Cricetulus griseus: one gene and its partners. The protein of the gene in region 3 purifies or fractionates together with the protein of the main gene of each other region. This does not show direct contact. Links are inferred from orthologs where the notes say so. Each region holds a gene or a part of one and is shown on either strand. Other genes may lie near its edges.

The links.
Region 1: the proteins of Tssc4 (region 3) and pre-mRNA-processing factor 6 purify together in Homo sapiens (affinity purification with mass spectrometry; 3 studies listed by BioGRID and IntAct, counting the BioPlex papers as one, with this or other methods). This does not show direct contact. The link is inferred for Cricetulus griseus from reciprocal best matches to the Homo sapiens genes TSSC4 and PRPF6.
Region 2: the proteins of Tssc4 (region 3) and Eapp purify together in Homo sapiens (affinity purification with mass spectrometry; 3 studies listed by BioGRID and IntAct, counting the BioPlex papers as one, with this or other methods). This does not show direct contact. The link is inferred for Cricetulus griseus from reciprocal best matches to the Homo sapiens genes TSSC4 and EAPP.

What each region holds. Positions count from the first base shown.
Region 1 is NC_048599.1:310,487-314,735, forward strand, and holds the start of pre-mRNA-processing factor 6, read right to left. Parts: upstream 2,809-4,249; 5' UTR 2,685-2,808; coding exon 2,614-2,684; intron 1-2,613. UniProt on the Homo sapiens protein: Involved in pre-mRNA splicing as component of the U4/U6-U5 tri-snRNP complex, one of the building blocks of the spliceosome.
Region 2 is NC_048598.1:147,607,094-147,611,204, reverse strand, and holds the start of Eapp (E2F-associated phosphoprotein), read right to left. Parts: upstream 2,838-4,111; 5' UTR 2,753-2,837; coding exon 2,679-2,752; intron 9-2,678; coding exon 1-8. UniProt on the Homo sapiens protein: May play an important role in the fine-tuning of both major E2F1 activities, the regulation of the cell-cycle and the induction of apoptosis. Promotes S-phase entry, and inhibits p14(ARP) expression.
Region 3 is NC_048596.1:58,316,345-58,320,103, forward strand, and holds Tssc4 (protein TSSC4), read right to left. Parts: upstream 2,316-3,759; 5' UTR 2,171-2,315; exon of another isoform or gene 2,042-2,170; intron 1,889-2,041; 5' UTR 1,764-1,888; intron 1,675-1,763; 5' UTR 1,665-1,674; coding exon 711-1,664; 3' UTR 542-710; downstream 1-541. UniProt on the Homo sapiens protein: Protein associated with the U5 snRNP, during its maturation and its post-splicing recycling and which is required for spliceosomal tri-snRNP complex assembly in the nucleus.

The DNA of each region.
Region 1 (4,249 bases), on a different chromosome or scaffold from region 3:
TCTTGCACCAGGGAAAAATACTAATCCACTACCAGAGGCTCCCTGGCAGCTCCATTCTTTTTGCAGCAAATCCCACCATTCTGGATTCCTTTCTTTTCTGGCCTCACTGGGACTGAACTTTTTCTTTTATATGCAATTTTACTAAGTTAAAGTTAAAACCTTCCTTTTTGATTAGCCAGATAGGGAGATATACTATAGAATGCTTCTATACACTGTAAATATATATTGTTCCCATTGGTTAATAATAAAAGCTGACCACTAGCCTGGCAGAATAGGGTTAGGTAGAACAATCAAACAGAGGAGGGGCAGAGTCCAGGGAGACATGAGCCAGCTGCCCAAGAAACAACAGCAAACCAGTAAAAGCCAGGGCTACCTATTCTTTTTTTTTTTTTTTTTCCTTTTTTTTCTTTTTTTCGGTTTTTCAAGACAGGATTTCTCTGTGGCTTTGGAGGCTGTCCTGGAACTTGCTTTTGTAGACCAGGCTGGTCTCAAACTCACAGAGATCCACCTGCCTCTGCCTCCAGAGTCCTGGGATTAAAGGCATGGACCACCACCGCCCGGCTTAAATATTATCTCTCGTGGGTACTGGGAATCGAACCCAAGTCCTCTGGGAAGAGCAGCCAGTGCTCCTAAATATTGAGCCATCTCCAGCAGCTACCCATTCTATATGGAGAGATATCTTGCCCAGCCTAGGCACAGGGGTGTGGGGGTAGAGAGGTGCCTGCCTCAAGGAGATGAGACAGACTTAGTATACTTCCTAGGGGAGGCCTTACCCTCTCTGAGGAGCAGATGAGAGGTGGGGGGGGAGGGGTAGTAGGGTAGTGGGGTAGTGGGAAGAGAAAAGGAGGGGGAACTGGGGTTGGAATGTAAAAAATAAATTAATAAAAAATAAAGAAATAGCCGGGTGTTGGTGGTGCATGCCTTTAGTCCCAGCACTCGGGAGGCAGAGGCAGGTGGATCTCTGTGAGTTCGAGACCAGCCTGGTCTATAAGAGATAGTTCAAGGACAGGCTCCAAAGCCACAGAGAAACCCTATCTCGGAAAAACAAAAAACAAAACAGAAAGAAAGAAAGAAAGAAAGAAAGAAAGAAAGAAAGAAAGAAAGAAAGAAGACAGGGCTACATGGCAACACAGAGTAATAGAAACATGTTAATTTAAATGTAAGCGCTAGTTAGTAATAAGCCTGAACTATATATAGGTCAAATTATATCATTATACAACTATATAATTATAGTTGTAATTAATAAAACTTTCTGTGTGATTATTTGGAACTGTGCAGCCGGGACATGAAAGCTCCACCTCCGTTTACGAAACTCAAGTTCTCCACAAAAACAGTCAGTGCTCCTAACTGCTGAGCCATCTCTCTATTCCCATTGTCTTTTTTAAAGAGGTTGGGCAAGGTGCTGGAATCAAACCCAGGCCTGGGCATGGTACAGTTGGCTACACCTCCAGCTGCCTTTTAAAACTGCCTGTTTTTTTATTTATTTAGTGTGTGTGACCTGGTACATGTATAGAGGTCAGAAGACAATAATCTATTCTCCCCTTCTATCACGTGGATTCTGGGGATCAAACTCAGGCTTGACAGAGCCTTACCTACTGAGTCACCTCAACAGCCCACTACTTGCCTTTTTATGTGTCTACACCAAATTCCTCTTTTTGTTCGCTTTTTGAGACAGTTTCTGTCTTAAAACTTGATCTGTAGACCAAGTTGGCTTCTGGATCCCTAGTGCTGGAACTACCTGGCATAAATTCCACTTTTCTTTGCTTTTCCCAATCTGACACTTCAAATCCTCTTTGTAAATCTGACTAAAATGCTACACTCTTAAAACTTCTGTTCTCCTGTGTGTGCTTATATACACAAACACCAAACCTTGAATTCTAGTGAATTCAAGTCAATTCTAAATACTATTAACAGGAGAGACTTATGTCTCATCTAATGCATAAATAAGTAGGAAAAATACTATTCATTTACCCAACACCTTATGGTTGGCAGGCATAGGCCATTGCTGTCCAAAGGTGACCTATGGCCACACACCCTAGAGGGAAAAGATGCTTAAGGGAATAAAGGAGTAGCACACTCCTACTATACACATCAGACTCAACTGCTCCTTACAGCCGACTTGCTTGTGCATATTACTTCAGACACCAAAACAATGAGGCTCACACGCCTGCGTAATCCCTGAGGTCAGATTCACATCTCAGGGTGGCAGTCGGGCTTATTCTAACAAAAAAGGCCACCATGTCTGTCAAGCATTGTGTCAAATTACCTAGTGCCTCTCAGAATATATGGCGGTGAACGTTATTCTTGTTTTTGAGACAAGATTTCTTTAAGTAAACCTGGATGTCTTGGAATTCGCTACGCCGATCAGGCTTGTCTCCCCCCCAACCACCCCCACCGCGCCCCGCCTCAATGCTGGGATTAGAGACCTTCACCACCACACTCAGACCCTCAGGCACTTGTTTTTTGTTTTTTGTTTTGTTTTGTTGGTTTGTTTTGAGATGAGGTCTCTCTCTACTTAGTGGTCACAAGTATCATTCTCAACTAGGCCTGGAGCAAGTAGTGTTCCAGAGCACTAGCCACCCTTCCTGGTATAAGTTCCGCCCACTGCCTTACCCCCGGCCCAGCCCGGGTACATAGCCAAGCGGCGCGGGCATGCCCAGGAACGGCTTCTTCTTCTTGTTCATGGCGGTGTTTTTGGCCGAGGCAGAGAAAGATAGAGGAGCAGGTAGGCGGCCGAAGAATACTCGCGGTGTCGCAGCTGGAAGAGAGGCGGCTACTGCGTCGCCGGCGCCCCGGAAGTAGAGAGTGAGGTCGCGCAAAACTCCGCCCACACAGAGCCTCTGACGGAAGTCAAAGATGTGAGTTTGCAAAGCGTTTCCGGTCGGGGCTGCTGGGTGGGTTTGCTGTGGGAAGCTGAGCACGCGTGCGCGGAAGCCACTAACCATTAACGCAGCGGGCCGCGCAGGCAGATGTAAGGGTCATGCGTTCTGTTGCTGTGCCAGGGACGATGCACAGCCTGAGCCCAGTAGGCTTGTTGAGGAGCGTCCCGGTGCTGGCATGGCCTCGAATCTGCCTAGCCTTAGGAAGACGGATTCAGCCTACATGACCAAGACTTGCCTAGCTGTACTGTGTGGCCACCGCCCGTCGATACTGCGTGCACTCCGCAACTACTGCTCTGTGCGCTCAGCGTTCAGAACTGCGACACCCCCCCCTCCTGCTCCGTCCCACCCCCGTGGGCCTTCAGAGAATAAGTGCATGGGCCGGAGTTACATGCTTGGGAGTGATTGTGTGCCCAGGGGCTTTAGTGGACGCGCACCACAGTAACTCTACACAGATATTTTCTGCCTGTGTGCAGCTCTACGCAAGACAATGCCAATCCCACCTGTTGGGTAATAAATAGATTCAGGTCATGAGTCAGGCTGTACTGGGCAATAGCCCAAAGGTATAAAGGATTGCTTAGCCACAGGGATGATGGGCTCTACCTGCAGAAACAATATACTAGGGAAAACAACCCTGCCTCCGGTTAAATCACAAAAATAGCTGTACCTTCCCGGTAGCTATTAAGTATATATGTATGTGTGTGTCCAAATCCCTCTACATGTGCTCCCCTTTCATCCAGTGGAAAGATCAGGGCCCCTCTGTTTCAATAAAGCAGTCTCAACCTGGGGAGAGCATCAGACTCTAGGGCAGACAGGAAAAACTGCAAATTGCTATGCTGGACCAGGCAACCAGACTTCTACGTCCAGTGCTTTTCAGTGGAGTACTGAAGCAAACAACCATTCTTGGCTCCTCAAACAAGCTTTTAGGGAGGAACAGGATTGATTGAGTCTATGAACACTGAACCCTTAGGAACAGAGTCTGATTCAGGAGTTCAACAGAGAGGCATAGTACTGCCTGGAGTTCAAAGTGACCCGCAGGCAAATGTCAGCTAGCGTCTCTGGAAAATGGTCTGAGAAAAGAGAATGCTCCAGTAAAGAACGAGCAAGTGGGGATGAAGATATAGCTTGGTGATTAAAAGAAGTTTTCATATTTTTGCAGAGGACACGGGTTCACCCACATGACAGCTCACAGACCATAAACCCCAGGGCTGGGGGATCCGATTTCCGCACCAGGTACATGCGTGGTGCACAGACATATACATTCGGGCAAAACATTCATGAAATTTAAAAGGGGATGAATAAGTTAGGATACACGGGTATTTGGGAGAGATTGATCTAGCCTTTAGCTGGACAGCGTAAGTAAAAGGTCA
Region 2 (4,111 bases), on a different chromosome or scaffold from region 3:
CTTCAGAACTAACATAACAGACAGGGAATATGAATACTAAAGTATTTTTCTTTGTTTTTAATTTATTTATTACAGGAGTATGTACAGGAGTGCTCTATCTCCATGTATGCCTTTAGGCTAGAAGAGGGCATCAGATCCCACTACAAATGGGAATTGAACTCAGGACCTCTCTGGAAGAGTGGCTAGTGCTCTTAACCACTGAGCCATCTCTCTAGCCCTGAATATTAAAATCACGGCTAGGCTGTGGCTCAGTGGTACAATACTCACATAAAATGTGCAAGGTCCTAGGTTAAAAATATAGCATCACAAAACAAAATAAAATCACTTAAAACTTCTATCATTTTAATAGCAAATGTAAATTTGACAAATTTACATCTGATATACCTATCACATTACATGCAGCAATAATCATTAATAAACAATAGATCAGCTAATCCTTCCGATTTTCAGGGGGCGGGTTTCTGGGTTTTTTATTTGTTTGGTTGGTTACTTTTTGTTTGCTTGTTTGTTTTGGTTTTGTGAGACAGGATTTCTCTGTGTAGTCCGACAACTCACTCTGCAGAACCAAGCTGGCCTTGAACCCAGAGATCCACCTGCCTCTGCCTCCTGAGTGCTTGGATTAAAGGTGTGTCCCACCACTGTCTGGCTTCTTTCTTTCTTTCGTTTGTGTGTGGGGGTGGGGGTGTTCTGTTTGTATGTGTATCTGTGCATCAATTGTGTTGCCTGGTGCCCATAGAGGCCAGAAAAGAGCACTGGATCCCGTAGAACTGAAGCTACAGTTAGATGGTTGTGAGCAGCTCTGTAGGTGCTGGGAATTGAACCCGGGTCCTCTGGAAGAACAGCCAGTGCTCTTAACCCCTGAGCCATCTTTTCTGTCCCTCTTTCTGACTTCTTGTATTATCACATTGATTTTCAATATTTGTACCAATTCATAATTCTATCAACTGAAAAAAACTTACTTCACAAAACTGAGAGTTTTATTTAGGATATATATATATATATATATATATATAGAGAGAGAGAGAGAGAGAGAGAGAGAGATACAATTAATATACAGTTAATATATCAACATATAGCAGTTAAATAGATGGTTTAGCTTGTAACAGACTTACTGTGTGCATGTTCATATCTAGCTCCCCTCCCAGCACCCACATGCCCTTTCTACAATGGTTCTCAATTTCCTCGTGAGTCACATATCAGATACCCTGAATACAGATATTTATAGTATGATTCATAACAGTAGCAAGATTATTTATAAAGTAGAAATATAGCAAGAAAAATTAGTAGAATCATTGTATCTAAGGTAAACATTAGAATGAAACAGTTGTTTTTCACTGTATTAAAGATAAACTTCATAATAGCTGCTTTCTAGAAGTACTGAGACCTTGAAGAAATCACTGTAAAAAACAGTGATTGTTTGCTGTTATCTATAGAGTTGTTTTTCTGAAAGAGCTTTACAGTCTTTGCATGACTTTGGTCACAAGACTGTCCTGGCACACCTGGATAATTTGGATTACTGGGTACTGCAATACCCAATAATACAGTGAACAATAAGGACTAAAGTGGCACATGTGTGATGCTTTTCTTCAGAAGGACATGGACATATGACTATATTAGGGACTTTGGTATAAGGAACTTGTTTTAACAAAAAAAAAACAAAAAACAAAAAAAACAAACAAAAAAAAACACCTTTTGTGTAACAATCAAATACAACTTTGCACAAATGTTTGGAGTTCAGTTCACAGAAACTGTTCCTCCCAGCTGCCAGAAAACCTAAAATTCATCTAGGAGTGATCCTCTTCCTTTAACCAACCCACGAAACACCGAACACCTGCCAAGCAATGAAGTAATTTTATGGTTGAGGTCAGCACAGCATGAACTGTATTAAGGGGCCCCAGCATCAGGAAGGTTGAGAACCACTACTCTAGAATCTAGGTTAATAAAGGAGTAAACAAGCCAGTCAGGGGGGTGCACTTTAACCCTAGCACTTGGAAGCAGAGAGGCAAGTGGGTCTCTTGAGTTCAAAATGAACTTGGTCTATAGAGCAAGTTCCAGGCCAAGCAGAGCTACACATTGAGGCCCTGTCTCAAAACTAAAATTAAAAAACCGAAACAGATAGATTTAAAAAATTCCCTGGGTTTAATATCCGGCAAGGTTTTTAAAAACGGGGAAAAAAAACATGTTTTACATATAAGTAAAAGCATTCCAAGTTCCCTCAGGTAGGATAAATACTCCCTTTCCAAAAGTACCACAGACCAAGACAAGAATTGTGTATTTTGTATCTCTTATCATAAGCCAAAAGAAATTCCCCGTTCACTGCTCCGTTATTTCTATTTGACAGTCTTCCAGATGAGTACTGAGGCCTGTGGACCTCACGAGTCCCACACTTGTATTTCCATTTACAGATGCGAAGCTGAGGAGAACTGACTTGCCTTCAGTCACAGTGCTAGCAAACGCTAAGGAGCAGGGTTCCAGCTGAGATTTACGCTTGGGGGCCCCCCGGGATTCTGGAACATCCCTCTTCCCGCACTGCTGTCCATCCCGGTTCCCCAGAGACTGAGCAGCCCCACCAGGCACCCTGAGGCTCCTACAAGTGAAGCGGGAACAGTGTACCCAGGCTCGGCGAGCACGACGGCCTCGGGCCAGGGCCGGGCGGACACCGCGGGGCAGCGGCCCACCTGCTCAGAGCCGGCTCCTCGTCGCTCGGCTCTTCCACGGCGTAGGGATCGTAATCATCCTGCAGCCGGTTCATGGCGGCCTAGGGAGGCCTACGCGGTCCCCTGCAGGTCCGGGTGTCTGTGTACTCCGCGGGTACCTCCCCTAAAGCGTCCCGACTCTCCACTTCCGCTGGTCATGCGAGCCCTTCCTGTGCGCGCCTGCGCAGGGCGTCCCAGGGCACGGGCACCGGAGGAGGGTCGGGGATCAGCTTGGCTCTGCGTTTTCTTTGCCGCTGAAAACAGCAGTTGCCTTTTTATGGATTTTTGTTGTTGCTGTCGCTTTATTTAGCCTCTGAGATGGTCTCACTGGCCCAGTCTGACCTAGAACTCGCTACACAGCCCAGGCTGACTTTGCTCCGCCTGCCTTGACCTGCGGAGCCCTGAGATTACAATTGTGCGCCACCGTGCACTCTGATTTCTTTCTTCCAAGTTGTTATCTTGGCCTTTCTCCCCAGGTTTTTATTAGGCTTAGTGGTTTGTATGCAAATAAGTGATATGTGGTAGACCTACCTAGAAAAATACTATGCAAAAGTAAAAAGATTTTCTATCGGCAGTTAAACATTACAGGGGTGAATCTCCTAGAACTGAACTGTGAGGATGAGTTCCTTCCGCTGGCGGAAACGATGAGCTAGAGCTGCTTTTTTGCCCAGAGCCTGAGCCTCAAAGACAGGTTTTCACCGCCCCTTTTGTTTCCAGACTTGACCCTCAATCAATAACAAGCCTCGCCCCGCCACCCTTAGTAGGCGGGGCCTTAGCACGCATTCCTGCAACGTCACAACAAAGGCGTGGTGTATGTAAATGACATGCACGCAGAGGATGCAGGTTCCCCGCAAGAAGGCTTCCCATACTGTTAATGGATAATATTCACTTATGTACAGGGTGGTTTTAGGGTTCACTATTAGACCAAGGGAATGTGAGGGAGAGGAGGATCAGTAAAAAACAGACCGTAAGTAGAGAGTAAGTCTATAATGAGGGAGAGCGCGCGCGGGGCGGCTGCAACTCATACTTACCTGGCAGGGGAGATACCATGATCACGAAGGTGGTTTTCCCAGGGCGAGGCTTATCCATTGCACTCCGGATGTGCTGACCCCTGCGATTTCCCCAAATGCGGGAAACTCGACTGCATAATTTGTGGTAGTGGGGGACTGCGTTCGCGCTCTCCCCTGGTTTTACTGTACAACGTTAGACTTTTGAGTTGTGTAAGGGAAAAAACTTAAGCTAGAAGAGTGTGCTTGTCTAGTTACTGCTGTTTTTTTTTCTTGATATTTCTTTTTACTGCTAGATGGTATTATAGAGCTGGAAACTCTAAAATCTTTTATTAAACTGCTCTTTAGTTTGGAGTTTATTTGTTGTAACCCCAGTGAATTTCATTAGGCCTGTCGGTACCTGTAGGC
Region 3 (3,759 bases):
TTAGTGTACCAGGCTAGCTAACTTGGTTCAGGACCCTGGCCACGGCATGAAGTACTCACTCATGTGTCTTCCCTGCATCCTTCTCTTCCTCCTGGGCTAAGCTTCAGCTAAATGACCTAGCATCAGCCTATTAGCATCAGCAGTGTCCTACACAGAGGTCACAAATCCTGGAGACATACACCCAGGACACCAGCTCTATCTTTAGTTTGGGTGGACACCTGCCCAAACTCCTTCGCTGGCTCAAACTACCCTCTTCCTAAAACTGGTCTGCACAGGCCTAGTGTGGAGGCTGTGCTGGTTTCTGGGGGACAGATTATGTTCGTCCATTACCATCAGGGGTACAAGGCTGGACATGGTTATGAACCCAGTCCCTCTGGGTAGGTTCACTGGTAGCAAATGCAAGGGATCATGGCAAATCTTTACAGCAGTCCCCACTGGAGTGGGGAGAGCAAGATAAGCCAGGTGTAGGATGGAGTCCTGAAGTTAGTTGCCAAGGACTGTTTGGACACATCTTGAATAGGGAGCAGAAAAATCCACAAAATTTAAGAAATATCCCAAACCTTTATTTTTCACCCCAAGAAACGGGGGCATAAGGTCCCACAATTCCCACAGTCCTAGTCAGAGTTGCTTCCCAGACACCCCTTCTACAAATAGCCCACAGCTTCCCACCTGGACTGGGCAGGTGAGGAGGTGGAGAGATAGCACTGCAGTCAAACTGAGGGTCCCCTCTCAGACCCTGGCCCCTCCGGGTTACTGTCCCTGTTCCGGAAGTGTTCTCTGCTCCGCTTCTTGCTGCCATGGAAACCAACAGCCTCCATCCCTGTGGGATCTGATGAGGACCCAGGATGGTCAGCTCCTGAAGGTATCACTGCCTCTTGCAGTCCCTGGTGGCCACTCCACTCCTCAAGCTCAGGCCCTGCCAGATGGGCCAGCTCCACAGATGCCTCACTCACAGCATTTGACACATCCCCCTTCTTTAGGACCCTCTTCCTTTCAGCCCTAGTCTCACTGCCTCGAATTGGTTTGGTAAAGACCACTCTCCCCTCCCCACAGCTAGAGGGGTCCTGGTTGAAGGAAGGTACATAGTCTGTGGGGGATGCCAGGCTGCGAGAACCCAGAAAGGCCAGGGCAGCAGCACGATTGCTCTGCTCACTGACTTCAGTCGCATCTTCCAGGCTGTACTTGGTCCAACGCTCAGGATGTGACACATAATCGGGCACAGGAGGTACCCTGGTTGGGCCCGTACTCCCATGCACCCTGCTCAGGTTCCCTGCTGGAGTCTGACTTGGGGGAGCCACAGGTCGCTTGAAGTTGCCATTTTCAGTCACACTGGTTTGGGGCGCAGAGGGCGGTGCCTGCCGGACTGCACTCTCCAGACAATCAAAGATGCTGTGACTGCGCTGGGAGAAGGTGGAGCTCATGCCGCGGAGGTGGAACGGCTGAACTGCGGTGGTGGGGACGCCCGTGGGGGGCGAGGGAGGCTCATCAGGGCCGGAGTCTTCTTGGGCTTCCCCAGAAATCCTCTCCGGGGACAACACTTGCACCTCAGCACCACTAGGTAAGCTGAGGTCCGAGTCCGAGTCGCTGAGGGAGACGGTGTCAGAAGGCAGGGTGTCATCTTCGGTGGGTTCCTCGGCCTCCAAGCCAGTCTCCGCCTCCGCCATGGAACCCGACCTGTAGCGAAGCAGCCCAGGTTCTGCTGTGAGGGGTGTACTTGGGCAGCTCCCCCCCACCCCCGTTCTCCCAGGCTCCCCCACTTTCACCTCCACTATGTGCCAGGCGCCTCTGCTCGCAATCGGGCGCTGGCTGGTCACGCAGGCGGGCGGAGGCCTCGCGAAGCTGGGTGGCGAATAGTGTGTCCTCGCACGCACTGATGTGGAGCTGCAGTCTAGATAGGGTTAAGCAGAGAGTCAAACCATGAGATCAGAACAGTGCGGACATATAAAGGGTGCGCGCTAGGAGACGCTGGAGACAGAGGCTCTCGACCATCAGCTCGTCTCATCACCGGCTCTCACAGAGCGCAGCCTCTCCGGGTACACACCGCCACCGGAGGCACCACCCGGCTCCGGAGGGAGAGCTGGCAGGGGACTGGCCTGGTCGCACGGTCCTAAGGAGGCCAGCGCTCACCGCTCCACCGTCCCTTCACGCTACAACAGCCAGCTGCCTTTACCGTAGCGTCCCGCCGGTTTCTCGAGGTACGGGCCGTGGCCCCCGCCTACTCTCGCTCGGCTTTCTGGGAAACCGAGTCTCCGGCTGTCTGAATGCTGCAACTTTAGCGGCCAAGGAACTACAACTCCCAGAAGGCAATGGGCCAATGCGTAATGCCTGCCGGGAGGTGTAACCTTTACGTATACGTCATCCCGTAAGACTGGAGCGGACACGGAAATCTACCCGGAAATGACGAAAGAGGAAGAGGCGGAGCCAAGAGCCTCGATTCCCATTGTACATAGGGCCAACTGCTAATCGCAAAGGGTTGAGGCCTCCAGCGCCGCCTGTCGGAAGCCGTCTGAGCAGGGTTCGTCACTGGAAGGAAGTGCGTCACCACGCAGTGCGGGCGTCAACAAGTTTCCTGGTCAGAAGTGGTGCTGATCTGATCTTGTACTCGGTTGGCTTCCTAAAGGGGGCGGGGACTTAAGTCCTAGTTGGCTCTTGGCATCTAGAGACGTGGTGGGCTCTGGATGTTGGATAAGTTGTTTGGGGCTGCAGAGATTCGAGGCCTCTCCTCTAGGCTCTGCCTAGCCGTGCTTGGACACCGACCCCACTATTTAAGGCCACACACAACTCCCCTCTAGGCCCGGGGCTGTCCTCTTTCATCTCTGGGAACCAGAGTCTGAGAATCCACTGGGCTGCTGCACGCTCACTTCCTTCCCTATGTTCTTGAAGCCCTGATAGCCATGCTGCAGTTTTCTCAACAGCCTTGGCCAGGGGCCCACAACATAAGAGTATAAAGTCCTTCAGACCAGCAGCCAACCCAAGCAGGGAACAGGTTGCAAGGGGCGGGAGGGGGGCGGCGGACGGACGATAGTAGAGATTAGGACGCCCTAGGACAAACTTGGGGTTCACTGACAAATCAGCTTACAGGGAGGTTGCTAGGAGCTGAGACCTAAATCTTAGCCACGCTTTCTCTCCTCTAGAGGCCAATTAAATATGCCAGTAGCCTGGGGGAGGGGTGCAGACAGGAGTCAAAGGGAAAGGCAGTAGTGGTGATAGTTGCTGGTGTCCCAAGAGGTTGCTTAGCCTAATCCTCAGTTCATAGGGCTGAGCTGAGTGGGCTGCCATCTTGACTATTATCCCTTGAGACAGGCCAGAGCCACCCAGCTCTTTAGAACATTTCTAAGCACCTAGATACTTGGGATGGGGCAGTAGTCTAACTTTTACTGTATTGTCTTTCAAAAGTGGGATGAAGTGGGAGTTTTTTGTAGCTTATCCCCAGCATTCTGTGTCGAATTTTCCTGCTGCGTGACCTCTCCTACCCGTCTCAGTGTGACTTGGCATGTCCAACAGATGAGTGGAAATGAGGTCAAGGCTGGAATAAGGTCAGCCTGAACTCCCAGTACAGGGAGGTAGAAACGAGGGAGTACTCAGATGGAGTGCTCCCAGGGTCCCTATCCTTCCCACCCATTTTATTCCACAGCCTCTCTTGGACCTGCTCACCCTGTGCCTGGCAAAGTCCAGAGCGGTACCCGTCTCTGACACCACTGGAACAGGAAGAGGTCTGACAGTCCGGTTAGCATGCCTGATTTTCTCCTCCTTTATTAA